Rhinolophus ferrumequinum: one gene and its partners. The protein of the gene in region 1 binds, or shares a complex with, the protein of each later gene. Links are inferred from orthologs where the notes say so. Each region holds a gene or a part of one and is shown on either strand. Other genes may lie near its edges.

Region 1 (6,969 bases):
GGCTCTTTCTTGAAGGTATGGGTCCCCAGGGAAGAGAAAGGCCTGCCTGGCAAACTGGCTTTCGAAGCCCTGGGTCAGACAGGAAAAAAGAAAAAATGTACCTGCAATTCCACTTCCCAGAGAAAGCTATTGTCAACATTTTGGTGTGAGCTCTTTGTAGTCGCTTTCCCTGTTCAAATATATACCTGTCTTTAAAAGAAAAATGAAATCATAGCATGCATGATATTTTATATAATATTTTATATAGAAGACCCTGTTTTTATTGTAGTGTAAATAGTCTTTTTTCCATTAACCCTTAATATTGTTCACATCTATGTAAAGATTTCACCCTCGTTTATCTATAAAGCATAGACTCTGAGGATAGACTGCTGAGGTTCACATCCCGGGTATTCCAACATTTACTACCATGTTTCCCCGAAAATAAGGGTCGTATATTAATTTTTGCTCCAAAAGACACATTAGGGCGTATTTTCAAGGGATGTCTTATTTTTTCATGTACAACAATGTACATTTATTCAAATACAGTCATGTCATCTTTTTCTGGAACATCGTCATAACGTACTAAATGTGTCCGTCTGGCTGACGATCTTAACTGGGGCTTATTTTTGGGGTAGGTCTTACTTTTGGGGAAACACAGTAGCTGTGAAAACTTGGGCAAGAGAGTTAACTCTTCTGTGCTTTAGTTTCCTCACCTGTAAAAGGAGGATAAGAGTACAGTGATACCTCGGTTTTCGAACGTAGTCTGCTCCAGAAGACTGTTCGAGTTCTGAAACATTCGAAAACAGCCGACAGCTAGGCCTCAGGATCTTGCACTTGGCGGAAGCTGCATGACATGTTCGACTTCCCAGGCGTGTTCGAAACCGAAACATTTACTTCCGGGTTTACAGCGTTTGGCGTTTGTAAACCGAAATGTTCGTCAACAGAGATGTTCGAAAACTGAGGTACTACTGTACTCCCCTAGTTGTTCTGAGGAGCAAACAACTTTTTAGATGTGGATAATCTCTCAATGTTATTATGTAGTCAACCTTTTCTGTTGGATATTTAGATTGTTTCCAAGCTTTTCTCTCTTATAAATACACTGTAATTAACAAATTCAGCGCACTCTTAATTGCTTCCAAAGGAAATATTTGTGGTCAGTTAAGGAATCTTTTCCAGAGTGAATCATGTGCTCAACGTACACCAACTGTCCATATGCACAAAGCATTATGCTAGGCACAAAGAAAAATGAACACAGTTCTCTTCCTTAAGACATTGAAAGCGCAGTAGGGGGCAGATAAAAGGCACATTCGTGTACAAGTACAATACTATACAGAAATACAACACTATGTAGATAGAGTTATAGACAAATGAAGAACTATGGGAGAGGAGAGAAGAGGGAGTACCTTCAGCCAGAGAATTAAATCATGCAATAAAAAAGAAAGAAAAACTTCCTCCTCTGCTCCCACCATCTCCCAAATACCCAAATCAGAATTCAGAATGGTTTCTGTCTGTCATGTCGAGAATTTGTTACCTCAACAGAGAACACCAAGGGCTGTGCTCCAAAGTTAGAAGCCGAGATATGGGCTTACATTGCAAGGCCAAACATTTAGGAAATACCTTTTTCTGGAAGGGAAAGAACACATTTCACAGCTGAAAAGACAAGTGAAAAATGAAACTAAAGAAGCATGAAGGTAATATTTACTTGCTAGATTTATACAGTGCCTACCTTTAGAAAAGCCTGGCTATAAATCCAGCCTGTGCCCCCCTAACACACATACACTGTTCTCAGTTATCTGGCTTTTTTGTGAATTCTCTGCAGCATATTTTACAATCATTTCACTGTCATTTTAAACAGCACACTTCCCTCCCCCAACCCAGCTCACCCTGTCATCCCCTCTAAGACCAAATGCAAATTTGGAGGCAGCCACTCCTGGCCTAAGTCCAGGCTCCACAGTTTACCAGCTGGGTGACCCTGGACATGTAACTTAAGTCTCTAAGTCTCAGCTTCCACATCTGTAAAATGGAGATAATAATAATACCATCTACCATATAGGATTGCAATGAGGATTACATGAGTAATGCCTGTAAAGCACCTATCACAGCACAGAACACTCAGTAGTGTTAGCTATTATTATTCCTGTTCTACAGCTTCGAAGTTGTGTGTGTGTGTGTGTGTGTGTGTGTGTGAGAGAGAGAGAGAGAGAGAGAGAGAGAGAGAGAGAGAGAGAATCATTCCTGGAGTGTTTGGGTAACAGTAAGGAGGCTTGTGTGGCTGGGCAAGCAGGAGAGCAGTAGGAGAGGACACGAGAAGTTGTACACACTGTTCACGTGGGTCCGTGCAGGCTGCTCTAAGGACCTTGGCTTTTCCTAAGTGACATGGAGTGCCGGTGGCGGGCTCTGACCAAAGAAGTGCTGTGATATGACATTTTAAATAGATTACTCTGGCTGTCAATTGAGAATAAACCACAGGAGTGGTGGGGAGGGGAGACCAGGGAGAGCAGCCTCTGTACAAACCCAGGTGAAAGAAGATGTTGGCTCAGATCTGAAGGCAGCAGGGGAGGAGCTGAGAAGTGGCTTTATCTGAAGGTAGAACCAAGGAGATTTCCTGAAGGATTAGATGTGGGGGTATGAGAGAAAGGAGTCTGGAATGATTCCTATCAAATGCAATGGGGAAGGCTGTGTGAGGAGCAGGTTTGTACAGAAAAAAGGAATTCAGTGTTTGGATATGTTAGGTTTGAGTAGTCTATTGATCACCTAAGTGGAGACTGAGGTTGGTTGTATAGCCTCGCATTCAGGAAGAGAGGTCTGGGCTGGAGATACAAATTGGATATAGACAGCTGCTTAAATCCATGGAGATGGATAGGATCAGCCAGGGAATGAGTGGAGATGGGAGGTGAGGTCTGAGAACAGGAATGTGGAGGCATACCCAAGAGGGAGTTGCAGGCTCCTCTGCCAAGGCTCAGGAAGCCCACTTTAGAGGATCCAGGGCCTGCAGGGGGTGCGGTGGTACTTGCTGTGGCTGCGATGAGTTGGAGAGAAATGTTTGCTTCTTATGGAAGGAGAGGCGCTCAATAGATTCCTGCCAGAGTGGCAAAAATAATTAAGAGAAGTAGGTAAGGATATCCTAGTAGAGCACGTGCTCGGCTGCCTCCAAGGAATTAGAAAACCTGGGTCTATTAATCTGTTCAGACATCTGGGCACCACTGCTTTCCCTGCGAAGCTCCGCCCTCCGCTTCTCTCTCTCTTTCTCTCTCTCTCTCTCTCTCTCTCTCTCTCTCTCTCTCTCTCTCTCTCCCTCTCCCCCTCTCCCCCTCTCCCCCTCTCCCCCTCCGCCCCCCCGTCTTCCGATCCTAGCCTCTGTATGTCTGTGTGTCACTTCTACAACCGCTTTGATTATAATTGATCAGGCAGAATCACGGAATCACGGCTCATTTTGCTGTTTTGTTCAGTGGCCGGGTCTGCAGAGACTCAGCGAGTTGGGCAGATTGTAGTCCCCCCTGTTGGAATTCCGCTCACAGAGGCCTTCCCGTCGCGGACTGCCGCGCAGGGACGCGGGGGTGCTGCCGAAGATAACGGAGGGAGGAAGTCTGGAGACCGAGGGGCGCGCGGGGGGCTGTCGGTGCGGCGCCCGCGCGGCCCGCCAGCGCCCACGATCGGCCCACGCCCCGCCTCCCGGGGGGCGCCACGCGCAGCCCCCCGTCGCCGCCCTTTCCGAGCCCGCGCCTCGCCTGCGCCCCTTGACGTCATGTGGGCAGCAGGGCTGGCTCCGTGGCGCAGCCGAGGGCCGAGCGGGTGCTCACTGGGGGCTCGGTCCCTGCCGTGCGCCCTGCGTCGTGCGCCCGGTCCTGCGCGCCGCCGCCGCCGCCGCCGCCGCCGCGCCACATCTGGAAGCGTTCAGCGCGTCTGCCTCCAGCGCGCCGGGCGGGCGGGCGGGCGGGGAGGGCGCGGGCGCGGGCGCGGCGGCGGGCTGGGCTGGAGGCGGTGAGCGCGGCGCTCTCGCGCGCCCCGTGTCTCCCTCTCGCTGCCTCTGCAGAAACAGCTCCTGCCAGAACGGCGCTCGGCGCGGCGCGGCCCGAAGCGGCGGCGCCTCTTCCTGCCTCCGCGCCTCCGGAGTTGCTGGAGCTTCTTGACAGAGAAGAGCCGAGCCGGGGCCTCGGGAGGACTGGCCAGGAGAGGCGGAGACGGCTCAGCCCTTGCTGGCCCGGGCGGCCCCTGTCTCCCCGTCTCGGCTCCATCGCTCCCCTTGCCCCTCCTTTCCGCCTCTTCTCTCGCTGCCTCTCTCGGTTTATTTTTTCAAACCGTGTAGCCGCCAGAGGTGCGGTGCTAAATTCTTGGAAGGGGCCCGGATGTACTGAGGATGCATTACAATTTCACTCAAGGAGGCAGTAGTGGAAAGGATCAGTTTTTGGTGTTTGATGCAATAATGGGAATCAGGTAATCATCAGAAGGGAAGAAGAAATACCGCAGATCCACGGCTTCCTTGAATTTTGCACGAAATCCGCCGACCTCGGAGGAGGGATTAATCCAGACCCGCTGGGGGGTGTTTTGACATTTCTTCCTCTTTGTCGCTTCTTCTCCTTTTAAAACAATTTTTGGTCAATGGTCAATGAAAACACGAGGATGTATATCCCAGAGGAAAACCACCAAGGTAAGGCTGGCCCCATCGCCCGGCCAGGGATCCAGCGCGGGCTCCCGCCCTCCCCGCCCCGCTCCGGCTCGCCCCGCAGCGCTGGGGCACGTCCCTGTGGAGTTGCCCGGGGCGCCTCCGCCTTGCCGGAACCGCGGGACCGGGGCCCGAACCCCGCAAGAAGGAGCGGAAAATTCCCGCCCCTCCCCCTCCCGTGCCGGCTTCTCCGGCGCATGTGTTTCCTATGAAATTCCAGGCGAGGGGGAAAAGTTCCCCAAGTGTCTGCTTCTGCCTCGCTTTCTCTTGTTTGCCTGGAAAGCCCAACTGCCTTGCCCGCCGCGCGTGGGGGAGGGGGCGCCGGCGTCGCCGAACCCTGCTCTCCTCGAGCCCCCAGCCGGGGTCCCTGGTCTAGCTTGGGGCGCGGCTGGGAGCGCGCGCGCGCACCCCGCACCAGGCCGGCCCAGCGCCGGGGCGCCCTCGGGCGTCCCGCTCGCTTCCAGGTGCCCCTGCTCTGGGCCGCGCGCTCCGGGGGGCGAGTGGGGACCCAGCATGCAGATACAAGGCTCGGCGCCTCTCTCCCCTCTCCTCCAGTTTCTACCCCTCTCCCCGGCTCACCTACACCCACCCACCTCTCCACTGCCGTTGACCCCGAGGGTGCCCACGCCCCGTGTGTTCTTATTCGCGCCCACATGTGGGCTAGCACCTGAGGATGTAAGCGTTTAGAATTCGGGCGGTGTGTGGGCTTTGCTTTTTCATGTTAAGAAAATAATAAAAGGGTGTGCCGAGCTCACGCGGCTCCACACTATTGCCCAGTGTTTTCCGAGCATCTCCATCCTTGGCATCAAGTGTCACCAACTCCCCCTGTGAGGGGGAAGGCTTTCAGGTAACTCTGCACTTCCGGGAAACTTTCTCCCCCCTCCCCGCCCCCTTATTAACAAGTTACTGTGTTTTTGTGTGTTGCTCGGCAATTAAGGTCTTGATGGAGTGTAGAGGGGTGGTCTTGCTGGAGTGTGGCAGCCTCCAGCTCCATCTGTGTGTGTTCTCCATGGCTTTCTGTCTTTTCGGGTGTAGTCGCTCCCTTTTCTCTCCCAGTTTCCCAAGCCTCCCCATTGACACTCTTCCTTTCAATCTCTTCTCCTGAATACCTGTCGCTGTTGGTCTTGTTACTGGGTTTACTTGTTACTTCAGGTGATCCTCTGAGGACCAGCCTGGTGGAGGGGTTGTCTCCATGTTTCTTTTTCCCAGCCTCCTCCCTTCTTTTGCCCTCATCTCCACAATTTGGGGACAGTGTCCCTACCCTTCAGAGCCAGAGGCTGCTAGGCATCCTACCTGCCTGAAACTGATTTCGGGGCAAATTGTCCCTCTGCTTTCCAGCTTCGGTGGCAGTGTGGGGATTTTGGCTTCTTTTGGTAGAAACAATTTTCTCAAGGGTCATGGGTTCTAGGGTGAGCCAGGGCTTTGGGGCCACAAGGGCAGCTTCTGTCCCTGGATTTCTCTTCCCATGCCCCATCCCTCACCTGCTCCCTAGTCCCCTGCCTAGCTGATGGTATAGCCAATGGATTGGGGGGAGGGAATGAGAGAGACAAAGGAAAGGTTGATACTTGTGAAGAGTGGGGATGGGTTTCTCCCCTCCAGGTTCTTAGCTCAGGCTAAGCAGCCTTGAAGAGGAGAGCTCAGTAGCGTTGTCCTCACTACACTAACAATGGCAGGATACTGTGGTAATGATTATTATGCACAGAATAATCTGAAATAGTTTACCAGTTCTCCTCTTAGTGCAGGATCAACCCTTTCTTAGCCCTTGTCCTTCCTTCCTGTTGCCTCTTTGTCCCCCAGCAACCCCCTCCTCACACACAAATGCAGGGAGCAGACATTAAAAGTAGGAGCCTACCCTGGAGAGGTTTGTAGGAAGATGGAGGGAAAGGCAGCGAGCGAGCAGGGCTGGGAACTCTGCCTTTCCAGCAACATGCCGACAAACACTATGGCAACCTGAATTCCAGTTCTCTCCCTTGAAGCTGCAGTGATTATATAATTCACAGGAGCAGTTTTGCCTCCATTCCTGGATGCGGTTCTCAGGTGAAAAACCACCAGGATCCCTGTCTCCCCTCCATTCCCCATCCCCTCTTCCTTGGTCTTTGGCGTTGCCCAGGTTTTTTTGTGGGAGGGGAGGAGGAGAGGAAGAGGGTGATGGAGGTGGGGAGAGGCAGACCTGGAAGGGCATGGATATTCACGAGGAAGGGGTTGCTGTGACTTAATAACCAAAGGGGCAATGAAACATAATTGGAGGTTAGAGTTTCAGGAGCGAGAGGAGAAGCCAAATGATTACCTCAGATCGGTGATGGTGATGAACCAGAGTGGAGAACTGA
Region 2 (7,262 bases), on another chromosome or scaffold:
ACTTTTCAAATAAATAGTTGAAGATACAGAAGTCTTACCAAAATATTGTTAATATTATCTACAGGAGACTGACTTACTACAAAATCTCTTATTAAGCTCTCATTTCATGAAATAATTTTTCATGTAATTTGAAGACATCTTAAATTTCCATTGTTAAAAAATGAATTTCAAATCCTTTCAAAAAAAAAGAAATTGTGGTTTCCTAATCCCTATTTTTGTTCACTATTTATTTTCTTTCTTGTCTCTAATGAATTTCTGACCATGAAAATTGAGTTATTTTAATTGTAGGAAATCATTTATTGCAGCTGTCCTTACAATAAAAATTTTTACATTAACATTGTACCATGGTATGTTCAGGAATAAAAGGTTGTATTTTGTTGTAGTTTAAAGTCATAGCTTTCCCCAATGGTGTGATGATGTATTCCCTCCAAATTATAGAAATATTGATAAATTGTCAGTTAAAAATAACTGCTTTAAAAATGTGTAAACTGAACACATTGACTCCTTTTTAAAGAGCCACTTTTTTATTTGACAAAAAATGCAAGGAAGTCCTTGAGTTCTCACTGCATAGGCCAAGCTAGAAAAAGAGTAAAAACTTAAATAAATAAAAGTGTAATTTCTTCATAAGAGTACGTAATTTTGAAGCATCTTTAGGGTAATTCTTACTCTTTTTATAATTCAAAATATCCGCTTGGAACATCCTGCCAATTAAACGAAGATCTACCGATAGCATTTACCCTTTCGCTTCATAACAAAAAAAGGATCTGCAGTCATTTTTATGGAAGATTACCTAAAAAGGAACATGACTGTAAATCAATGACAAAAAATATTAGAGACTTTCCTTCTCTGGGTTAGAATGTGCATCATTCAGATGCTTGCACTGACACCTAATGTAATAAATACTTTAAGCTGAATCTTAAATAATAGCTGCAGGGTTTCAACTGGTAAAGATTCACTCTTAGTATCCACCAAAAACTCCAGTATTCAGCACTCAGTCAACAAAGGACAGCAAATAATTTCCATCATAAATTCCGGGAAGGCTACCTTGGGCTTTGTTTTTGTTATGTAAAATGCATTAAAGTGACTCATCCACTTAAGATTACCTACTCTCAGAAGCTTTAAAGCAGCTTCAAGAACCAAAATAAATGCTTTCCCAGAATGCCTGATAGGCTGGCTATTCAGCGCATTTAAAGATATGTATGTATTTTTATGTGCCACTGACTGTTTCTTTTTCCCATCCTAAGAGAAGAATTAGTATTTTTCATTCCCTTCCTGCCGTGACTGCATAGACAGCTACCTTTAAACACTATTTTCCGAATAGCAGCGAGTTTCTTTAAGTTATTTTAGAAATGTTTAAAAAAGAGAAAATTGCAGGAGACTCTAGAAACGCCGAGTCCCTCCCTCAAAGACTAGGTTCTATTCATTCTAAGAACAGGGACCGCGTGTCTTTGGCACTTAGATGCTTCAAATAAAGGATTGCGGGGGTTGGATATCGGGGTCCTAGTACCTGCGAGCCCTCTGGGCGGACGGTACTCTCAGCAGCCGGGAGCAAGCACTCTTCAGAGCGGAAAGGCTGTCAAGTGCGCCCGGTAATTTAAGATCTAAACGAGTTTGGACACCACAGCAATTAGAGAGCATCCCAGAGGCAAAGTGCGGGAGAGTCCAGACTATCCTGACAAGCCTGAAATTACCTATTTGTAAAACACCCAACCACAACACAACTTTTTATTAAACTGTGTTTGATGAGAGCGACTACCTGACTGGAAACTTTTTCCCCAGTGCATGTAAACTCTTTAAGTCTAAAGAATCCTTTAATAGATGGGCTGAGGAGCCGCGAGTCGTCGGCGGATGTTTCCCGGGATGGCTCGGCCACCGCTCCAGCCCCTCCGAAACGCGGGATCGCAACGCATTCCCGCGGCGAGACGCGCGCACCTCCTGCTCGGCCTCTCCGGAGCCAAGCCCGGCTCGCTCCCCACCCCCACGGGCAGAAAAGCCTCGCGATTCGGGGACGGACCCCACGCCCAGCTCCCGCAGCACTCCGCGGCCCGCACTCCCAGCCCTGCCCGGCCGGCGACTTACGTGACTGCCGAAGGGAACGGCTCCTCCGACGAGGGGCCGATCAGCAAAGATTGGAAAAGTGTCAGAGTCAAGGCCAGCAGGCAGCCAGCAGCCATCTTCGCGATCGAAGATCAATCCCGCCTCCCTCCCCAGCCGGGGGAAGGAACGGTGCTGGAAACCGCGGAAGGAGGAGAAGGATCACTCGCTGTCCGGACCGCAGACGTCAGGAGGGCTGGCGCGCCCGGGGTCCTGGGCGCAGACTGGCGCGGGGGGCGATCGGGGGCAGCGCGGCGCGGGGAAGGGGCGGCGGCGGGCGGACCCACTAGCGCGCGTCGGCGGATCCGCGCCGCGCCTGCCTCGCCTCCGCCGCCATCAAGGGCGACTTTGGAAACAGACCTGGGCAAGCCCGCCGGCGCTCGAGCGCTTTCGTTATCTCTCTTTCTCCCTCTCGATTTCTTCCCTGATTTATTCCCCTGATTGCCGAGGAGAAGGAGGCGGAGGCGGGGGCGGAGGAGGGGTGACGGCGCTTGGGAGGGGGTTGGGGGTGGATGTAGAAATGGGGGAATGGCAGGCGGAGAGACTTGTGGCTGGGAGAGGCTCCGTCTGGCTTCTCCCGGCAAGTCAGAGGGAGGTGGCTGGGGGTGGGCAGCGGGAGGGCTGGGCGTCAGAGCAGTCGGGCGGAGACGGGCCCGGAGCAGCCCTCCATACAAGGCAGAGAGGAACTCCTAAAGTCGGCGTCGGCTGGCTCCCGCCGCCCCGCGTGCGGAGGGGGAGCGGACCCAGCCCCGCGGGGCTCCCGGGGGACAGCCAGCCTCCCGGCGGGCATCCACGGGCTACAGAGGCTCCAGCGGAGTATTTGGCTTGCGTCTTCGGGGTTTATTTTTGCACATGCAGGCAGCGTTCCCCCAGCCCTCCTCTTGGGCTCCGTGTCCACTGCCTAGCTAGGAATCGTGGCGAAGTGATTTGACAACAAATGTAGGAGGGGTTTGTATTTGCATTTTAAAGCACCACTTTTGACTCCCTACCAGGTGGCACTGTGTATTTGCCCGACAGTGCCAGAGGCCAGGCCCTCTGGTGTGGCTGAATGCAAATTGTGCCACCGTCCCCACGTCCAGCTGTGAATCACCTGGCGAGGACGTCAGAGGAGGAAGGACCTGGTGCTGTAAAATTTTCGCTGTCCTGACTTTGGGTAGGACAGAGGGGTTCAGGGACGATTCTCCACCCGGGGAAGACAGTGCTGCGAAAAGGGCTTTGTAACAAACAACCCTAGTGAAACTATCTCCAGAAGATTCCAAACGCCCTGCTCTGGCCAGTGGGCTGCCCTGCCTTGACATGGTTGCTGCAGGGTGAGTTCACTTTGCCAATGTGAAGGCACGAAAAGGATAGCAATTTATGAATGCACCTGAATTTCGGAGGAAAAATTAAGGGAGAGGAGAGAAATAAGGAGGAGTAGCAATGCCGAACCATCTCCAATGGTAGGGCGAGCTCAGGCCTTCTCGTAGAAAGAACACAGGAGTCTTGGATTAGGCCCCTCAGACCGCAGAGGCCTCGTTCAAGAAGGAACTGCTGTGCCAGGGGTGGAAAGATTTCCTTGAATATCTTCAATTCTTAAGCTCCCTACAGTAGTGCATTAGAGCACTTCTGACAAGAAGTGCAGAGAACATGATCCCTGATGGGAAAAAAAATGGCCATCCTGCATATGCGTCAAGGCCAGAATTATGATGTGGCTGTAAAATTTTTAATTAGTCCTTCTTTAGTTTCAGAAGGAGCTTATGAAAGGAGAAAGACCTTTATGAATTTGGAATTGATTTTCCAGCTCTCTGTAGGCAATCTCCCAAAACAGAGAAGAACTGATAATGCTACTACTTACTAGCAACGTTTAAAAAGTGTGTACAATTTTATGATTCTTGACCCAGTGATCTTTTCTTCCCAATCACCTCTCCTTTTTGGTGCCTTCTTTGTTTTTTGTTTTGTTTTGTTGTTATTTTTTTGTTATATGCTCTACATCTCTTTCTTGCTCTTTGTTTCTTTCTTCCTATTCTGAGTGACCTCACAAAAGGCACCCCACTGGGACTTAACTTCGTTTGTTTTATGCTAAGCATAGAGAATGTGGCAGCAGGAGCTAGCAAATGAGAGATGAAGTGGGATGTAATGCGAGTGAGAACTAAAGCTCAGTCAGAAGGATATTTTATATAACTGAAGATAGCTTTTCACGCCAAAATTAGATAACTAAATAGTCAAGTACATCATTTTTTTTCCAATTTTTAATGATGCAAAAGCAGATTTTCTTCCCCAGCATGGGGATTACAAATAGCAGAATTAGATGCTCATTATTGTCTACATGATATGTTATCATAATAGCCTCACTACATAAAAATATTTTTATAATATATTTTGTCAATTATTTCAATGATGACACCATACCTCCTACTAAGGTAGACCATTTCCATTTTTATGTCTTTAAGAGAACATGCTCTACAGAAGGTAAGTCAGCCATTATTTGTTGGCCTTTGAGCCAAATCTCAATTTCTTTAGATCACTCTGATGAAGCACTCTGTTCTCTAATATCTGAAGCCATTGAAGAAAGATATTGCGTCTACAATTCTTTCTGAAAGGGTTGGTTATCAACTCTAAGCCTAAATCATTGCTTAGTGCTCTGTTGCGAGGTTGCTACTTAGTGCTTTTTATCAACCTAAACCTTTTTAATGAGGATATTCATAATGTGGCTTTTATTTCTTATGTATGATAACTAATACAGGACCATTTTCACAGCATAGTATTATGTATCTATTGGATTAACCATAGCCATCTACAATGCATTGTTTCTGCTCAGTTCTGTTATTTTGGAAAATTCCACAAAAATCAGACCTTATCCCATTTTAATAAAATTTTGCTAATTCCTCAAAATTTGCCATTCAAGATAAACTGTTGATAAATCATAAGGGCTGATGATAAAAGTTGTCTTATAGGCTGTAAGTGAGCAAGAAGTCAGAAATCAATAACCTACTATTCATTTAAGAGAAAATTTTCTGGTAACAAAATAAAGATTAGTGAAGAATTGAGATGTTTGTGTTTAATCATATCTAGAAGAAAGTTTAAAGGAGATTTAGTTCATGCAAAGCAGCGAGTTTTATGACAAATTTATGTTTGTAATTTTTGGCTAATTCTCAATTGTTATTACATGTAAATATATAATTTGTTCATATAAATTTATGTTAATTAAAAATGAACAAAGAATATTAACCTAGGAGCCATGAAATGTTCACTCTCTTTTTGTTTAAGGTTACACTATGCGTAGTGGTAGCATCAAAGTCTATTTATGTTGTATTTTCCAAAGTATGTATGAGTAGGTTTTTCTGATTTTTTTTAGTAAATCTAATTTCTTCAACATTTTGGCTTAAAGAATAGGAAAAAGTAACCTTATTGAGATTTTTTTTCCCCTCTCTTTTTCATGTACAAAAGCACACATACAAACACTGGAAAAGAAAATGATTGCTGTTAGACAAAAAAAATTAAAAGGGCAATAATTAATTTTCTAGTTCTTTTTTTGGCACATCTTAAAAAATATAAGGAGAAAACCATGACAACAGGCTTTATATGTTTATATGCAAATAGAAGTATAAGACCTGTCTCTGAGATAAAGATAATACTATAAGAACCATAATTGAAAATACTTGTGATTTGAGGCGATATCATGCTTCTGTGCACACATAGATATGTGCCAGAGAAAGCCAAAGTTAAAAACGGACAGAAAGTTTCAATTATTTATGTCCTTGGGGAATCTTTTCAGAAGATGGGAATAAGAAAGACAGGAACTCAAAAGTATCAATTCCCAGGAGAATGGTTAAGAGCATATGTAATGATTCTCAAGTCAGTGTTCGCATTCAGTATTTTTAAACTAAAGCAGCACACAGAAGCTTCCATAGAAAGCAACAAGGTAAAAGACCCTATCTTAGATGAAGAAATAAGGTCAAATATTTCCTACAAACAAGACAAATATTTAGAAAAATATTTGCTTTGACCCGAATAATACAGATATTGATAGACAACCATTAAACTTTTGAAGAAAAAAAATATACCTTTTCTAAATGGACACAAAATAACATTAAACAAGTACTTACTGGAAGCTTATTGTTTGCCCATCAGAATCCTATAATGGTGAACTGCTAATTTAAGTACGTAGAAATATTAGCTATTATATTAAATACCATCATATCTTCAACCAAGCAATAGCTTTTATGCTATTCTATTTTTTAATCTCTGCTAATCATGAAATTTTTCATCCATTCCTTTTCCTTGTTTTATTTTTGCTCTTCTTCCCTCTTTCCTTCTTTAAACACAAGCGCATCTCAAACAAAATCAGCACCTACAGCATGACTGACTTCCCATTAAAAAAAATGTTAGACTCTAAAATCTAGATTTCAGGATAAGATCCTTCTCCACTCCATAAATAGAGCTGGAGGTTTCTCGTTGTTTGAACTGCAAGTAATAGAATATATGGAATCCATTTACTTAGGCCTACACAGACAAAGGGAAGTAGAGGTTCAATTATTTATCCAAACATTCAAGAGCAGCAAAAACTCAATGGGAAGTGGTTAATAGGAGGTAAACTGTAACATCTAAAAGACCAAAACTAATAACTATTGGCACTCTTCACAGTTTTTTTAATTGCGTAAATGCAGCCTTCCATGAAAGAGAAAGATTATTGATGTTATTCTTCTGATAGTCGATATTTTAAACATATTTAAACACAATAGACCACCATTATAAACTAGCATATTTCTATAAGAATTTGGATATGTTATGGGTCAAATACACTTCCTGTACAGATAATATACAATTAATCCGTTAGATGAATGCACAGAAGGACAAAGCTTGTCTATAGGTCGAATTTATATACATTGATTTTTTTTTCTTAGTCACAATTCCTTTCACTTTTACTCTGAGGTGAACTTCTCTTTAAGAACATGATTCTCTCAGAATGTCCATGGCTAGCTGGAAGAAAAGAGTTGATTTCATAAATTTGCCAACCTGGGTGGAGATAGTCCAGAGTAAAACAAGAAACTGAATCTTGAGTATCAAGCTGAGTACACAGTCAGCCCTCCACATCCGTGGCTTCTGAATTCACAGATTCAACTAACTGAGGATCAATAATATTTTTTTTAAAAAGCTATGTTGCTGATGTGTACTACTCTGTAGTGAGG
Region 3 (6,884 bases), on another chromosome or scaffold:
TCAGGCAGTTGTGATATTAAATAATTGTTTCTAATTGTTTTTGACAAATGACCCCCCACTCCCCCCGCCCGGGGAAAAGACTGTTTCCCCTGGAGGAGCTCAGAGTCAGGTCAAATAAAGACAGCCTTGCAAACAGGGACTTGCAGGGAATCACCAGACGGATCAAATAATGACCGCTCTTTGGGAATGACACTTTGGAAGAGATCCAGCCCATTCTGTCCCCTCTGATGATGGCTGGCTACCAGGCTGCTGGTTTTCACTGTGATTGCAGGCTGGGGGTTGTCAACGCTGTGACAGAGTTGGGGGTGGGGTGGAAATAAGAATAGAGCAAGTTAAAACACCACAAAGCTCACTGTTCTTACTGAGGTTCACCCGTTTCTCTAGAATAAGCACTGCTGGATTGCTGCAAGACTGATTAATTTCCAGAGTTCTGAAAAAGTTTATGCTGATCATTTTTGCCAATGTTCTCATTGTTCTTATGGAGGAGAGGACTTTTGGAGGTTCTTACTCTGTCATTTTTTTTTCTCTGATATTCTCGTAATTCATATCTATAGAGCACTGAAAACAATGTTTTCCAGATAACTGCTCTGTCTGTGTTGGCAGTTGTTATTATTATCGTTGTTGTTAATAATAAATCAGAGAACATGTGTGATCTCTTTTCATCTATCTAGAAAACAGTGAACCCATAGAGCACAGGGAGGGTGGCTGGGGAAGAAAGAAGATTGTAGAGAAAAGGGAAAGGGAAGAAGGCAGGGATGCATGTCAGAAGCTTGTTTGGGGTAAGGCAGTGCTCACGAGTAGTATGGTTCACTCTGGATCAGAGTGAGAAGGCATAGAGATAGACTCAGCTCAGGTTCAAGGCCAAGCCATGCCTGTTGGTCCCCTGTGGCAGATTCGGTCACCTCCCACCAATCTGTCTCTTCCTTGTATAGACTTAGCTCACCTCCCTCCTCATCTGCTCTGTACACTCACCAGACTTTAAAAGGCAGGTGCTTCCAAGGACAGGTGGACAGGACCATATCAGTGCATTTCCGTGCATGGTCCCTGGAGAATCTGCCTCACCCTGCCCTGCCCTTCCCTGCCCAGTTGAGTTGGCTGGATAATGCATCTGTTTACGGGTGTGCTCAGCAGTGGCCGAGGGGCGTGGGCATCTGAGCTATGTGATACCCTTCCAGTGCATGTTCATGTCATTTAAAGCCCTCAGCCCTGGGACGCAATGTTTCCAAGACAGCTGGGTATTTACAAGTCTTGCGAGTATCCGGTGGGAATAAGCAAGGCAGGAGTTCCCTGGAGCCAGCAGGAGGGGAAGGAAGACGAAGGAGGGAAGAGGGAGGCACAGGGTTTGGGTTCCTTTGTCCCACACATACAGTGCAAGATGTGTGCAGACTTGGCACTGATTTCCTAGAAGGGCAGGTTTCAAGGAACACCCAGTCGAATGACAGAAGGAAATATTCTGAAAACCAGGTGGGACACCACACTCACCCAAATGCCCTGCCGCCTTGGAGTGATATTTGTAAGCACTGGAAGGGGTTTCATGTTGCTGACCCCAAGCACCATAGGAGGAGCCAGAGGCTGTGATGGGCTGTCACCCCACCCCACCCCACCGTCGTCATTTGGGGGGGTTATGGTCAATGTATGACTAGAGCCCTGGACTCTGATTCTCCAAGCAGCGTTCTTCCCTCGGCATGTGCTCTATTTGCTATGAGTGCAGAGGGTTCCACATTTGCAGAAGAGACCTAATTTGCAGAATACCCCACCCAGGTATTATTGAGAAGGAATTCACCTTCAGCGTGTCGTTTGGTCACATGGTAGGACATCGAGGAATGCGCTTATATTATAGAGGAAGAAAATGCGTTCCAACTCTGAAGGGGTCTGAGCCAAGAGAGGATGTATGGAAGGACCGACAGTTCTGACTAAAAGGCAGGTGGCTCATCTATAGCCAGGTACCTGCTTCACAAATGTGTGACCTGTGTAGTCAGTCACTGAAGGCCCTGCACCCAGAAGGGACCTAGGCTTGATTTCATGCTCTGCTGTCACCATCTTGAAATTCTTAAAAATAATTACAAGGAGCCCTGCATTTTCATTTTACACCAGGCCCTATAAATTCTGCAGCTGATCCTGTCTATACCCTGGAGGCTGGGAAAGAAGCCTCTATACCCTGAAGAAACAAGCCAGCCCCACAGGTCCCTTCCCTGGGGACATTGGGCCACTAGCCTGTCCTTGCACGGAGAGAGTGGAGCTAGGCACACCCAGAAAAGTGACTGCCGCTGGGGCCAGAAGCCCCTAGTCTGGCAGGTCCATGGTTCCTTTCCTGAGCCTCTCGTCCCACCTGAGCAGCCCTCTGCTCTGGGTAAAAAGCCCCAAGCCTCAGCAAGACAGAAATAGTGAGAGACAAATGCCCTCATTTTACAGCCCAACTCTGGCGGCCAGCACAACCTCATGCAATTCAGATCCTCTTCCCCGGACGCAGAGGGCTGTTCTAAGGCCGGAAAACCTACCCTCTTTCCCACTGGCCACTTTTCCAGGGGGGTGGGAAAGGGCAGGAAGCAGGGACAGGGGACAGAGACTGGGTACGTTACCTCCAGGCAGGGTGATGGGTCCGCAGCTCTTGTCCTTGCTGTCGCTCATGACAATAGTCTTGGTGCAAATCCGCCAGAGGCCAAAGTGGGCCGCCTCGCAGGTGGTGTTGTGGTGCTCTACCTGGGGGCTGAGCACAGCCCAGTGGTCGGTCACTACGGCCACCGTGGCCAGCACGATGCCCACCAGGATGCAGAAGAGCGTGGCGCGGATCTTCAGGGCTTTGATCTGGGACATGGTGGTCGCAGAGGAGCGTGTACTCTGGACAGAGTCCGGCGGCAGCGTCTCCTTGGGCAGGTGGCAGCCAGGCTGGGGTGGTGGCAGCAGTGATGGTGCAGGAGGTGGAAGCTAAGTTTAGTGTGCCTGGCCGAGCCAGAGTGGGCTGGCCTTGGGGCAGAGGGACACTGGACGGGGCTGAGCAGCTGCCCAGACGTGACAGGGGCCTGAGGGAGGCTTCTATTAATGCACATGGACAGGCACGCCACCGTCACCGAGGATGACTTCTTCTCGGGTTTCAGGGCTGTCTTCCTCTCACGGAGCCAGAAATACCCCAGGGAGGGGCAAGGAGGGAAGGATCTGGATGGTGACTGGAGACCTACAATGAGTGGCAGCTCAGGACACCTGAGGTGGGAGGGAGTGAGGCATAAGCAACAGGGAGACTCAGTGTGGAGTCTGCCTGCTCTGGCCTGAAGGAGAAAGGGCACTGCTGGGTGAGGGCAGGGGACCCTGGGAGATACGGTGGCACAGCTTTCGGTTATCACACTGGGCAGGGTGAGTGGGTCCTTGTCCGGGAGGCCTGGGGGACCCACAATCCTGCCTAGGGACACCTTGGGGATCCGCCCCGCCAGGGCCTCTGGAGCCCACTACTCAGGCAAGAGCTTTAGCTCAAGGCCTATGCCATCCCCCAAACGGCAGGAAGATTTCAGGTGGTTCCTGGGCCTGGCGTGGCCGGACACTGCCCAGCCTGAGAACATTATTTCTGGTTCCCTTCTCCCGTCTCTCCTATTTGGTCCAGAAGAGAAGCCCCGTTCAGGGTTAGTAAGTCTTTACCACCTTGCTGACACTTGCAAATCAAAGCGTGGAGAGGACACGGAATCCAGCGGGACCTGACTGTAGTTCTGTTTTGGTTTTACTGTTTTAGTTTTACCTCTATTAATTGTAGGTAATAAAGATTTTCCAGTTATGTTTCCATTTACAAAATAAATACATTTAAGTAAAAAAGAACAGAAGTAGATTGATTTATGGGTGACTACTGTGAGGCTAATGGGTGAGCAGAGGCAGCAGAAGACGTGAAAGTTTGGGACCACCATCCGAGGGCCTGTCTGCCCACATGACCCCCAGGCTGGTCTCCAGGCCCCTACACCCCTCCTGGGTTCGGCCTCTTCTTCCTCAGTTCACCAGGTGCCTCTTTTGGGGTGTATCTGAGGTTAATGCATAGCCACAAATAAACCCCTGAGCTGGCCAGGGCTTTGAGCTTCAAAATCCTGGCCTCCGGGTGGGGGCCCGACACCCGGGGTCCACGCAGTGTCAGCTGCACCCACATTGCAGGTTCCTCAGACAGCCAGGCTGCACCTTCCCTCAGTGGGGGGCAGGTTTGTGCCACATGCAGGGGTCCTGAGTCCTCCAACCCAGCCAGGAAAGATTGATGTCTCTTCCTTCAGAAGTAGTCGGGCTGTACATCTCCCACGGCATTGGCAGTGCCAGGCACTGCAGGCAGGTCTCCTTTCTCTCTCTCATTTACTAAAAGCTCCTTCAAACAGACCATTTCTGCTCGTGGAAGCCACTGCCAGGCTGCTCGCTTGGCACTTCCCAGGGCCTTGCTGGGCCAGGAAGGGGGCTCCAGCATTTGCTGGGAGCCAGGGCTGGGGGACGTCAACGTCCTCCACACAGGTCCTACCTTTTCCAGGTCATCAGGAAAGATGGCTTCTTAGGGACTGGGAGTCAGCCTGCCAGTGATGGAACGGACAGCCCCAGGGTCAGGTCCCCGCTCTGCCAATCTCTAGCTGTATGGCTTCCAGCAAGCCATTAACCTCTCTAAACTGCCCTTTCCTCATCTATAAAATGAGGGCAATGGCAGCTGGCTGGGGAGCTGCTGTAGGAGTAGAGATAATGGATTTATCAGTTTAGCCTGTGGTAGGTGCTATGGACTGAATTATCCGCCCCCCCCCCATTCATATGTTGAAACCCAAACCCCAGTGTAATGGTATCTGGAGACGGGGCCTTTGGTGGGTGATTAGGGTTAGATGAGGTCATGAGGGTGGGGCCCCGTGATGCGATTAGTGTCCTTCTAAGAAGAGCCACCAGGGGGCTTCCTCTCTCTCTTTTTCTCTACCGTGTGAGGACTCAGTGAGAAGCTGAAAGCCGAGACTCTCACTAGAACCCACCCAGGCTGGCACCCTGATCTAGGACTGAAGGGAGAGCTGTGAGAAATAAATTTCTGTTTTTAAGGTCACCCAGCCTGTGGTATTTTGTTATGGGAGCCTGAGCTGACTAATACAGTAGGCAACTGATCCAGGATGGCTGTTATTATTATCGATAGACTGCAGATGGATCAGCTTTCTCTGATGGGAAGATAGAGACGGGGAGACCGTATTATGTATTCATTTTGGGTCCCCTTAGAGAAGCCCCCTAGGTCTGAGCCCAGGATGGGATCTCCATAAATGTTTGTTGAATGACTGATGGATGGATGATGGACTCATGGATGGAAAGAAGAAGGAGATAGAAGCTTAGATAATTTACTCCACTGGGTGATCCAAAGGACATTTCTATGTAGCTTAAGGCCACACGGAGCCCCGGGACAGCTTGAATTAATGGCTAATTTACCTCCAGGTGCAGAGGGACACCCCAGGAAGGCACTGTCGTCACCTCTGCGACCAAGTTCTGCCTGCCTGTCACAGCAGCCTCCTGAGATAGGACATTATCTTCAAAGTAGATGTGCCACACTGAGAAATTTGGTAATTGTCTGTATTTTCCTCATTCAGATGAACCCGTTTCCATTTATCCCAAGTGACTAATCTTTTCCCAAGAAGGACCAGACATAACTAGGGGAAAGAAAACACCTCCCAGAGGTGGGCCTCATTCAGAGCTAGGACCAGGTTACGCCTGGGTGGGGGCCCAGTAACCCCTCTTTGGCGATACGCTGATCTAATTTGAGCTCAGGCTTAATTGGGCTAAGAAATGGCCTTGCGTGTTTGATCTTAAGATCCTGTATAAAAAAGCAAGGCACCACCCAATTGGTCCCAACCTTTTACTCCACTCCCTCTGCCTCCTGTCACTGTTCATCTGGGACTCTCTGTTGCATCAGGCTTGCTGCCTCCAATTCTATCCGGTGCCTCTGTCCAGAAGCCTTCCATTTGCAAAGCAGTTAATCGCATCACTCTGACCTCTGCTTCTGTCATCGCATCTTCATCTCTGACTCTCCTGCCTCCCTCTTCTTTCCCTTCTACAGACCCGTGTGGTTAAGGTGATAATCCAGGAAAACCTCCCTGTCTTTAATGTAATCACACCTGCAAAGTCCCGTTAGCCGTGTCAAGTGACATAGTCACAGGTTCCAGGGATTAGGACTTGGACATTTTAGGGGCCGTTATTCTGTCTACCACAAGCATCGATTTTGAACTTGCTTGATGTTCTCTGGCATCACTTCTTAGCTCAGGTGCAGGGATGGGGAAGATGGAAGGTGAGATTGAAAGAGGGCTGAGGCTCTTTCAGGAGAGAAAAGATAGAAAGAAAAGGGCCCAAGGGAACTGAGGGCATCGGCAAGGGTGAGTTTAAATGATGACTTGCCATGTCTGGGCTGGTTAGGATGCCCGGCAACGAGGAGGTGTCAACATATTAGGAGGAAATTGAGAGGTCAAGGCCCGGAAGGGTTTGATGAGGTTGGAGAACAGCTGTAGTGGTGAAGGAAATGGGAGCACTGGAAGTTGCGGTCAGAGAGGAGGACGTAGCCCTGAAGATTACAGGGGGGACAGTCAGGGCTGATGAGAAGATCCAGGTTGGAGATGAAGGGCAAGGGAGGTGAGAAGGCAGAGCTGTGAGGCCAGGGAGTTGGAATGGCCGGCCCCACAGATGTTGATGTGGCTCAGTTTGATGGTGGTAGGACTTGGGGAGCAGAAGAGGGCTTTGAGCTAGATGCGAAGTTCCTGATGAACATAAAGGTGTGGGCGGAACGGGGTTGGGGAAATGACAGTGATGAGAAAGGGTTCAGGATGGTCTACCCAGGCCCTCAGAGAAGGCTTTTCCCCAGGAGGGGGGAGGAGTGATGGTTTGGCGGTATCAGCGCCCCCACCTTCCCCTGTCCTGCAATTATA
Region 4 (7,239 bases), about 34 Mb from region 1:
CGCACTCGGGCCCCTATCTCTGAGCCATCTACCTCAGCCAGCTGGGTGGACAAAGGAGACAGCAGACAGAGAATGGACAAAGTGGAAGGGCCTTACCGCACTCCAGTACCATTCATTCCTTTCTCCCCACCCCGTGGCCAAGAGGGAGGGGCTCTTTGTTTCTCAGTGGCTATTTGACCAATCTGACTACCTGGTGAGGGGGGTCCTCAGGGTTGGGTGCTGCTCCTTCCTTAACTTCTCAGGCAGACACTGGAATGCGAGGCAGTCCATGTTATTTACCCAGGATGAGAATTATCTTTCTGATGTTGAAGGGACAGACTGGGTTGAAACATGGAAACCGGAGCAAGAGACAAGCACTCAAATCTGCCTCCACTGACCTAGGGACGACAGATGTTGGTGAGTGACAGGATGCCGAATCTCCAAGAGAAATTGCTCACCCCTCCAGCCCTACATTACTAGCCCAGGATGGCAGGGAAAAGCCAGCTTAGGGTGGGGAGTAGAAATGGTACCCTTCTGTACTCAGGAGCAAGGAGAAGTTGCAGAAGTGAAGTATCTCTCTCCTCCTTACCAAGCTATTCCAGGTGCTGGGGAAGATGATGGTAAAAATTGGGAATAACACAATGATGGGGGTTGCTGAGCCTATTATCAACAGAGTCTTGTGGCAGTGGCCCTGACTTTAGTCAAGGTTGTCTACCTTTGGTAGTCCTTGACCTAATTTAGGAGAAGCTTGACAAAGGAATGTGGAGGAGTAACGCCTCCTGCAGGCCTTCCGTACTAGGCATACGAGATCTGTCAGGATTTCCCCTATTTGGAACAGTTTGCTAAACAAGGAAAGGAGGGGAAACTGACTTCCATAGATAATAAAAAAGGAATCTACTGGGGCCAGCCACTGGGAAGGGAGCTATGGAACATATTTCAGATTACGCTACTGACTTTGTCAAAGAACATCAGCAAAAGCCACACTCCTTCACAGTAACAGCTCCCTGTGAGAGAACTGAGGTGCGGGTCTCCAGATCTTCAATCTGGGATTCTGGTTCCCAGTCTCTCCTTGCCTGCATCTCTAGGCTAGAGGAGAAAGGTTCCTTTGTTTCTCCTAGTTGCCCTGCTGAGAGTCTGGATAGTGAGGAGTTGGGTTGACTGGGGAAGGAGGGAAGGGCGAAGTGAGAAAGGCCAGGCTTTTGAGAATGTTGTATACAGACATGGCCAGCTGGATATTTGTGCAGTCCTTCCTACTCTAATCCTCTCACAACCTTGTCCTCTCTCCTTCCCTTCCAGTCCTGGGGCGGGTGCTGGAGGTGACAGATCTCCCTGAGGGCATCACTCGTACCGAGGCGGACAAACTCTTCACTCAGCTCGCCATGTCCGGCGCCAAGATCCAATGGCTCAAGGATGCCCAGGGGCTGCCTGGCGGAGGTGGGGGGGACAATAGTGGGACTGCCGAGAACGGCCGCCACGCGGACCTCGCTGCCTTGTACACCATCGTGGCTGTGTTCCCCAGCCCCCTGGCGGCCCAAAATGCCTCCCTTCGCCTCAACAACTCTGTGAGTCGCTTCAAACTTCGAGTGGCCAAAAAGAACTATGACCTGAGGATCCTGGAGCGAGCCAGCTCCCAATAAAGGGAGGAGGGGAAGGGACCAGCACAGCAGGGGAGAGGGCAGGGTGGAGGGTGTTGAGGGATCCTGATAGACCATGGACAGAGACCGAAAGGAAGGTGACAGACACTAAACTGGAGCCTAAAACAGTAGGGATGAAGATGGAAGCAGACACTCACACTGGCACTGGACTCCTTCTTACTCCCCTGCCATGGGTCCCCTCTTTTTCCCTGGTTGGCCTTCCTCTGCTTCCCCCTCCTTCCCATCCTCTTCTATCATTTTTGATCTCTTCTCCCACCATGAAATTAATTTCTTTGATATTTTTTGGTTAGGTAGAATTGGGAGAGTCCTACACTCCCCTGTTCTCCTGTTTCCTGATCATCCCAAGCTCCCTTTTCTTTTTTGGTCTTTATGAATATATTTATATGGACAGAATTAAGAAAAATGAAATTGATTTCCCTTTTCTCTCACTTCCCCCATCTTGTCTCCCCAAACCCCAGAGTTAAAACTTGGGCCTTCCTCCACCCCTACTCCCCAGAACACTTGTATATTGTTTGTTTGAGGTTCGTGCCGAAGTAACAGATACAGTATTTAATTGCACATAACAGATGTTTGCTGGGTATATTCACTGTAAATTTTATTTAATCTGAGTTTTTGTTTGTTTAGGGGGCATCATTTGGGGGGAGGTTGATTTTGTTTTTAAATATAAAAAAAAAAATCTGTCACTGGACGTCAGTCCCTGTTTCTGTGTTGCCGCCCTGGGGTGGGTAGGGGTTGGAGGTCCTGGGTAGGTACAACCCCACGGTTATTGGAGGGATTTGATGTGGGTTTGGATGGCTTTCCTAGCATATGCACCTATCTCATCCTAACACTATTCCCTGTGTCCCAGCCTCCTCCTTACACATAGTTCTGAGGTACCTGGGTCTCTAATGGGACCTGGGTCCTGGGTGCTCCCAATTCTGCAACTAACTCTGATTCATCAAGCACACACTTCTCAACTCGACACTTCTGAGTCTGTATCAATAAAATAAGAGATGTGGACTGACTAGGTGACCCCTGAGTTTCCGTCCTCTCAGTTAATTCTGTAACACTCATTTAGGGTCCTTGAGCCTGAGCTGGGGACGGGGAGTTGAGGTCCAGACCTGGATTCAGATGCGCCTCATACCTGTCCGTCTAATGTTCAGGGATAGAAGACTTGGGCCTTTAATCTTAAAGCCAGGGGATTGGGTTCTACCTGGCAGGAACAGAAGTGGATGTTTCTTACAATACAAAGCTCCGTCCGTTAAATTTGCAATGCCCAGATGCCATATTACCCAGATGTCCTATGCAGCTGAAGAAAGGTGAAGAGCAGAAGTCACCTGCCTACAAGATGGAGCTTTTCCTCTGAGGCTTCTCAAAACTATCCTAGTTGTTTAGCCTGTCAGACCAGTTGTTAAAGAGCCTGTAGGCACAGAATCATCCAGCAGCCCCCTTTCAATCTGAGCCACCCCTTAAAGAGAAAAAAGAGCAGAAATGACAAAGAACATCGCCCCGGAAATCTCTTGGCTCTGGGTAGGAGTAGCTCTGGTGAGGCTCGCTCCTCTGGGGCTTGTCTGACCCAACCTCCAAAGTAATCCTTTACTTTTTAAAGATACAAGGGATAAAGCAACACTATGTCGCCACCTCCAAATTGCTCCCCTACCATGGGAGTATCTCCCTTTCAGCGGTGTCAGCACAGAGCAGAAGGCTGCATCCCTGGGAGATAAGAATGCCAGATAGCTCACTGAGCCATCAGTTCATACACCGGGGCCTCAGAGGAGGGAAGAGGAATCGGGATCAGAATGATTCAGGAAGGGTGAGGCTTGGCCATCCTACCACCTCCCAGAGTTTGCAGTTCTCATGAGGAAGGGATATTCCTTACAGACGGTAAAAATGCCCTGCGTGGCAGCTGTTTGTTACCGTCTTTCCAGTGTGAACAATAGCATCTCTACCTGATCATTAGACCCTTCCTCTTCCAGAGCCCTCAGATGGGGGTCACAACCTGGCTTTGTTTAATAGCTCTCAGAAATACCTTCACCCTGAGGACAAGATTTTAGAGGAATAGGGGGAAAGAAGTCTTTGGGAACAACTGGAAGGAACACAGCAGTACTACACGTTCTTCACTCCCATAAGGACAGCAGCATGTACCCCTCCATCTACCCGTAGAGAAGAAAGCAATCTGGCTGATAGGAGAGCTCTGAAAATTCAAATTTTCTTTTCTTCACCAGTTCCCAGCCTTTTCCTTCTTAAAGGCTTGAAGGCATAAAAACACATGGCCACAAGAAGACAATGGCTGAGAAGTCAAAGCCTAGTTCCTGAAGTAGGTCCAGGGAGGGCAGAATTGGGGAGGTGTTTGGGCCTTGGAGAAAGGGGATTGGGAAAGCTGTTTGTAATTCGTCTTTCCATTAGTCATCTAAAAATCACCCACGAGTACACAGCATGAACACTGTCTCTTCCTGAATTTAGCCCATACTGACTTACACACCATAGATGAAAAACCAAGGAACGGCAGCTCTGGGGGATGGGAGAGGTTAGGGTCCAGCCCTGCCCAGACCTCTCCGTGTCCAATTTCTCTGTGTCAGCTGTGTCGCTCAGCTGTCCACTTTCCTCTAGCCCTGTCATTTCAGCTTTGACACCAAGGCAAGAGGCTAGGTCTACAAATACCGCCTGGGTAGCCAGTGTGAGTACAGAGGGTACTGGGGGGGCTTAGCCCCCAAGGAAGAGGACCAGTCCTCCAGCCCCACCACCAACACCGCAGGGGCTCCTTCCTCCCTCTACTGATTGTGGATTGACTTAGGGAACCCCAAACGTAAGTTGCCAATTCCCCTTTTCATTTCCAGGACTATTCACCCCGGCTTCCCCAATCCTGAGTCTGTTCAGCTTCATTTCTTTCCTTGTCTGTGAGTAGTTTGGGTTTTAGGAGTGAAATTACTGTTCTACTCCTGGACAAAGAGCTAGGACTGGAGGGGGGGTGGGGGTTGGGTCAAGGGAACGGAGTAGTAAGAGAAGGAAAGGCTCCTATTACTCTGAAAACTTAAAATAGCTGAGGCCTGAGGCAGGCTGGGAACTAGGCCCTGGGCCTCCAGGGCTCAAGAAAGAGGTTGGGATAACAAATGTCCCAGCGCTTCCCTCCACACATCAAACCTCTCGAAGAAAGATCTCGGGAAGGTGTGTGTCATGTCTCATTGCCCACAGATTTTGTGAAACAGGGTCTGTAGGAAAATCCCTGGGGTTGCCCTTCAGGGTGGAAGGATGGATATCGTTAGAGGAACTGGTTGGGAAGTTCTTTTGTCTGTTGGGCTTTTCTCTGGACCTCAATGGAATCTTCCTGTTCATAAGCCCTATGAAAGGATCTCTGTTTAACCAAATTTCTCCCAAAGCCTCCCCTTCAAGGACCACCCTATTACGAGGGATAGGAATAAGGGAGGGAAGAATGGCAGTCAGAGATTAGATTTCATAGTGGGGTCCAACCTCTTGCAGGATGACAGAAAAGGAGGTGCTGGAGTCGCCCAAGCCCTCCTTCCCAGCAGAGACTCGGCAAAGTGGGGTGAGTCTGGGCCTCTGACCATGGGGTGTGGGGAGCTGCAAAGCCACCGCAGCCCTTGAAAAGTGCTTGAATTGATGGCACTTATATGCGACTCATTTATTGTTAGGATGCTAGCCAGCACCTGCACCCGCCAGTACCCCCTAATCCTGGGGTGTGCCCCTTACCCCAGGTTAGGAACATGTCTAGTTAGCCTCAGCCTTACCTAGAGAGCATGACAATTCTTTTAACATTGGGTTTCCTTCATTCCCTCCCTCCCTCCCTCAGCTACAGCGGCTGAAGCAGTTATTCAGGAAGGAGTCTACAGGGACAAAGGAAATGGAGCTTCCCCCAGAGCCCCAGGCCAACGGGGAGGCAGTGGGAGCTGGGGGTGGGCCCATCTACTACATCTATGAGGAAGAGGAGGAAGAAGAGGAAGAAGAGGAGCCACCCCCAGAACCTCCGAAGCTTGTCAATGATAAGCCCCACAAATTCAAAGAACATTTCTTCAAGAAGCCCAAGTTCTGTGATGTCTGTGCCCGGATGATTGTGCGTGAGTCATGAAGGGAAGTGGAGAACGTGTGATGTCGAAGGCGGGACAGGGGGAAAGGGTTTAGCAGAGGAGTGTTTGTATAGCAGACAGGCTGTGGCAAGAATTGGCTTTAAGAAAATAACTGTTAGAGACCTCAAGTGTGGGCTCCCAGACAGAAGAGGGACCTGAGAGCTAGAGTAGCAACAACGGTACAAAGGCAGAAGGAAACAGGAGCCTCACCGAAATGTTCTCCCCTTCTCCCAAGTCAACAACAAATTTGGGCTTCGCTGTAAGAACTGCAAAACTAGCATCCACGATCACTGTCAGTCCTACGTGGAGATGCAGAGATGCTTCGGCAAGATCGTGAGTAGACTGGGGAGCCAGACAGTAGGAGGGAGCAGACAGGTGCCAGCTACCCCCTTGCCAGTCCCTCCTCAGGTCACCCCATCCATTTTCCTGCCTTTTCTTTCTCAGCCTATCTCTTAACTTCGAGAAGGGGTGAGCACTCATGGGAGAGATGGGGTTCTGGGCCCTACTGTGTTCTCTCTAATGCTTTCTCCCATCCCATCTTACCCTGCAGCCCCCTGGCTTCCGTCGGGCCTATAGCTCCCCACTCTACAGCAACCAGCAGTACGCTTGTGTCAAAGATCTCTGTAAGTGCCCCCCCTGGGACCTGAGGGAATGGGCAAGCCTAGATAGAGATGGTTTCAGCACCATCTCTAGCTTTGGAAGCCAAATTCTGAAACAGAAAGATTCTACTTCCTGTGGTTCTCTCTCAACCTAATATTTGAGCCATTTTGGATGCAGAGTCAATACTCCCGTTTGATAGCTGAGGGAGATAAGATTTAGCTAGATCTCCACACAGCTAGCAAGAGACAGAGCCAAGACGAAAACCTTCATCTGCCTAACTTCAAAATCTGTGCTCTTCATATGCAAAACCATTTTTAAGTGAACAAAGATTCTGACAATCCTCATCCTCCTTACAGAAGAATTCCAGACTCAGGGCCAGACCAAGAGCTGTGGACACCCTGGGCACATTCTTAATTTGGCAACCCTTACAAAACGTTATTTGACAATTGGCTCCACATTTATTTGGAGGAGAGGCTGAATTCTGTGAGGAGCATGGGTGTAAAAAAGAACTCACTGGTGGTGGCACCCCAGCTGGCACATGCCACTTAGTGGAACAAAAGCCAGCAGTTAAAGGACCTCTCTACTTAGAAGGAGAATAGTGATTCTGAGAATGCCCTGCCTAGAAGGAGTGCTGATAATATTTTTCTCGATCACATTACATTTCCAGTGATGTTTTTGGAGCTCTTTGTAGATTGATGACTTGTGTTTGCCCAAGTGACCCTTCCCTAATCTGACAGACACACACAGACACACGCACACACGCACGTATCTGCTCAGTCCCACCTCTCCCTTGCTTAGGCGGTGTCTCTGTCCTCCAAGCCTTGCTCTGCCTCCCCAGTAACAGCTTCTTTCTTCTTCCATTCCCACTAGCTGCCGCCAATCGCAATGACCCTGTGTTTGAAACGCTGCGCACTGGGGTGATCATGGCAAACAAGGAGCGGAAG

Evidence for each region.
Region 2: the proteins of CACNA1C (region 1) and CACNA2D1 are in contact, whole or in part, in a cryo-EM structure (PDB 8WEA), measured with the Homo sapiens proteins. The link is inferred for Rhinolophus ferrumequinum from reciprocal best matches to the Homo sapiens genes CACNA1C and CACNA2D1. Residues at the interface, in NP_955630.3 of Homo sapiens: Phe147, Pro148, Glu149, Asp150, Asp151, Ser152, Asn153, Ala154, Asn678, Lys1090, Gly1091, Asn1092, Tyr1093, Ile1094, Tyr1096, Gly1099, Val1101, Pro1104, Ile1106, Arg1109, Tyr1156; in NP_001353796.1 of Homo sapiens: Thr170, Asp171, Tyr173, Ile233, Leu235, Gly262, Ser263, Ser265, Lys270, Thr274, Ala327, Lys328, Gly329, Ile330, Glu366, Gln391, His392, Tyr394, Ile416, Gly417.
Region 3: CACNA1C (region 1) and CACNG1 share a complex: the UniProt entries of both Homo sapiens proteins name them as parts of the calcium channel complex. The link is inferred for Rhinolophus ferrumequinum from reciprocal best matches to the Homo sapiens genes CACNA1C and CACNG1.
Region 4: CACNA1C (region 1) and STAC3 share a complex: the UniProt entries of both Homo sapiens proteins name them as parts of the calcium channel complex. The link is inferred for Rhinolophus ferrumequinum from reciprocal best matches to the Homo sapiens genes CACNA1C and STAC3.

Annotation. Positions count from the first base shown.
Region 1 is NC_046293.1:89,981,123-89,988,091, forward strand, and holds the start of CACNA1C (voltage-dependent L-type calcium channel subunit alpha-1C), read left to right. Parts: upstream 1-3,947; 5' UTR 3,948-4,578; coding exon 4,579-4,627; intron 4,628-6,969. UniProt on the Homo sapiens protein: Pore-forming, alpha-1C subunit of the voltage-gated calcium channel that gives rise to L-type calcium currents. Mediates influx of calcium ions into the cytoplasm, and thereby triggers calcium release from the sarcoplasm.
Region 2 is NC_046303.1:41,907,015-41,914,276, reverse strand, and holds the start of CACNA2D1 (voltage-dependent calcium channel subunit alpha-2/delta-1), read right to left. Parts: upstream 3,004-7,262; 5' UTR 2,175-3,003; coding exon 2,080-2,174; intron 1-2,079. UniProt on the Homo sapiens protein: The alpha-2/delta subunit of voltage-dependent calcium channels regulates calcium current density and activation/inactivation kinetics of the calcium channel. Plays an important role in excitation-contraction coupling.
Region 3 is NC_046304.1:43,756,445-43,763,328, forward strand, and holds the start of CACNG1 (voltage-dependent calcium channel gamma-1 subunit), read right to left. Parts: upstream 3,016-6,884; 5' UTR 2,815-3,015; coding exon 2,580-2,814; intron 1-2,579. UniProt on the Homo sapiens protein: Regulatory subunit of the voltage-gated calcium channel that gives rise to L-type calcium currents in skeletal muscle. Regulates channel inactivation kinetics.
Region 4 is NC_046293.1:56,296,306-56,303,544, reverse strand, and holds the start of STAC3 (SH3 and cysteine-rich domain-containing protein 3), read left to right. Parts: upstream 1-4,218; 5' UTR 4,219-4,419; intron 4,420-5,090; 5' UTR 5,091-5,091; coding exon 5,092-5,157; intron 5,158-5,421; coding exon 5,422-5,686; intron 5,687-5,930; coding exon 5,931-6,028; intron 6,029-6,245; coding exon 6,246-6,318; intron 6,319-7,165; coding exon 7,166-7,239. Other genes in the region: R3HDM2 (R3H domain-containing protein 2), read left to right, coding at 312-396, 1,276-1,616. UniProt on the Homo sapiens protein: Required for normal excitation-contraction coupling in skeletal muscle and for normal muscle contraction in response to membrane depolarization. Required for normal Ca(2+) release from the sarcplasmic reticulum, which ultimately leads to muscle contraction.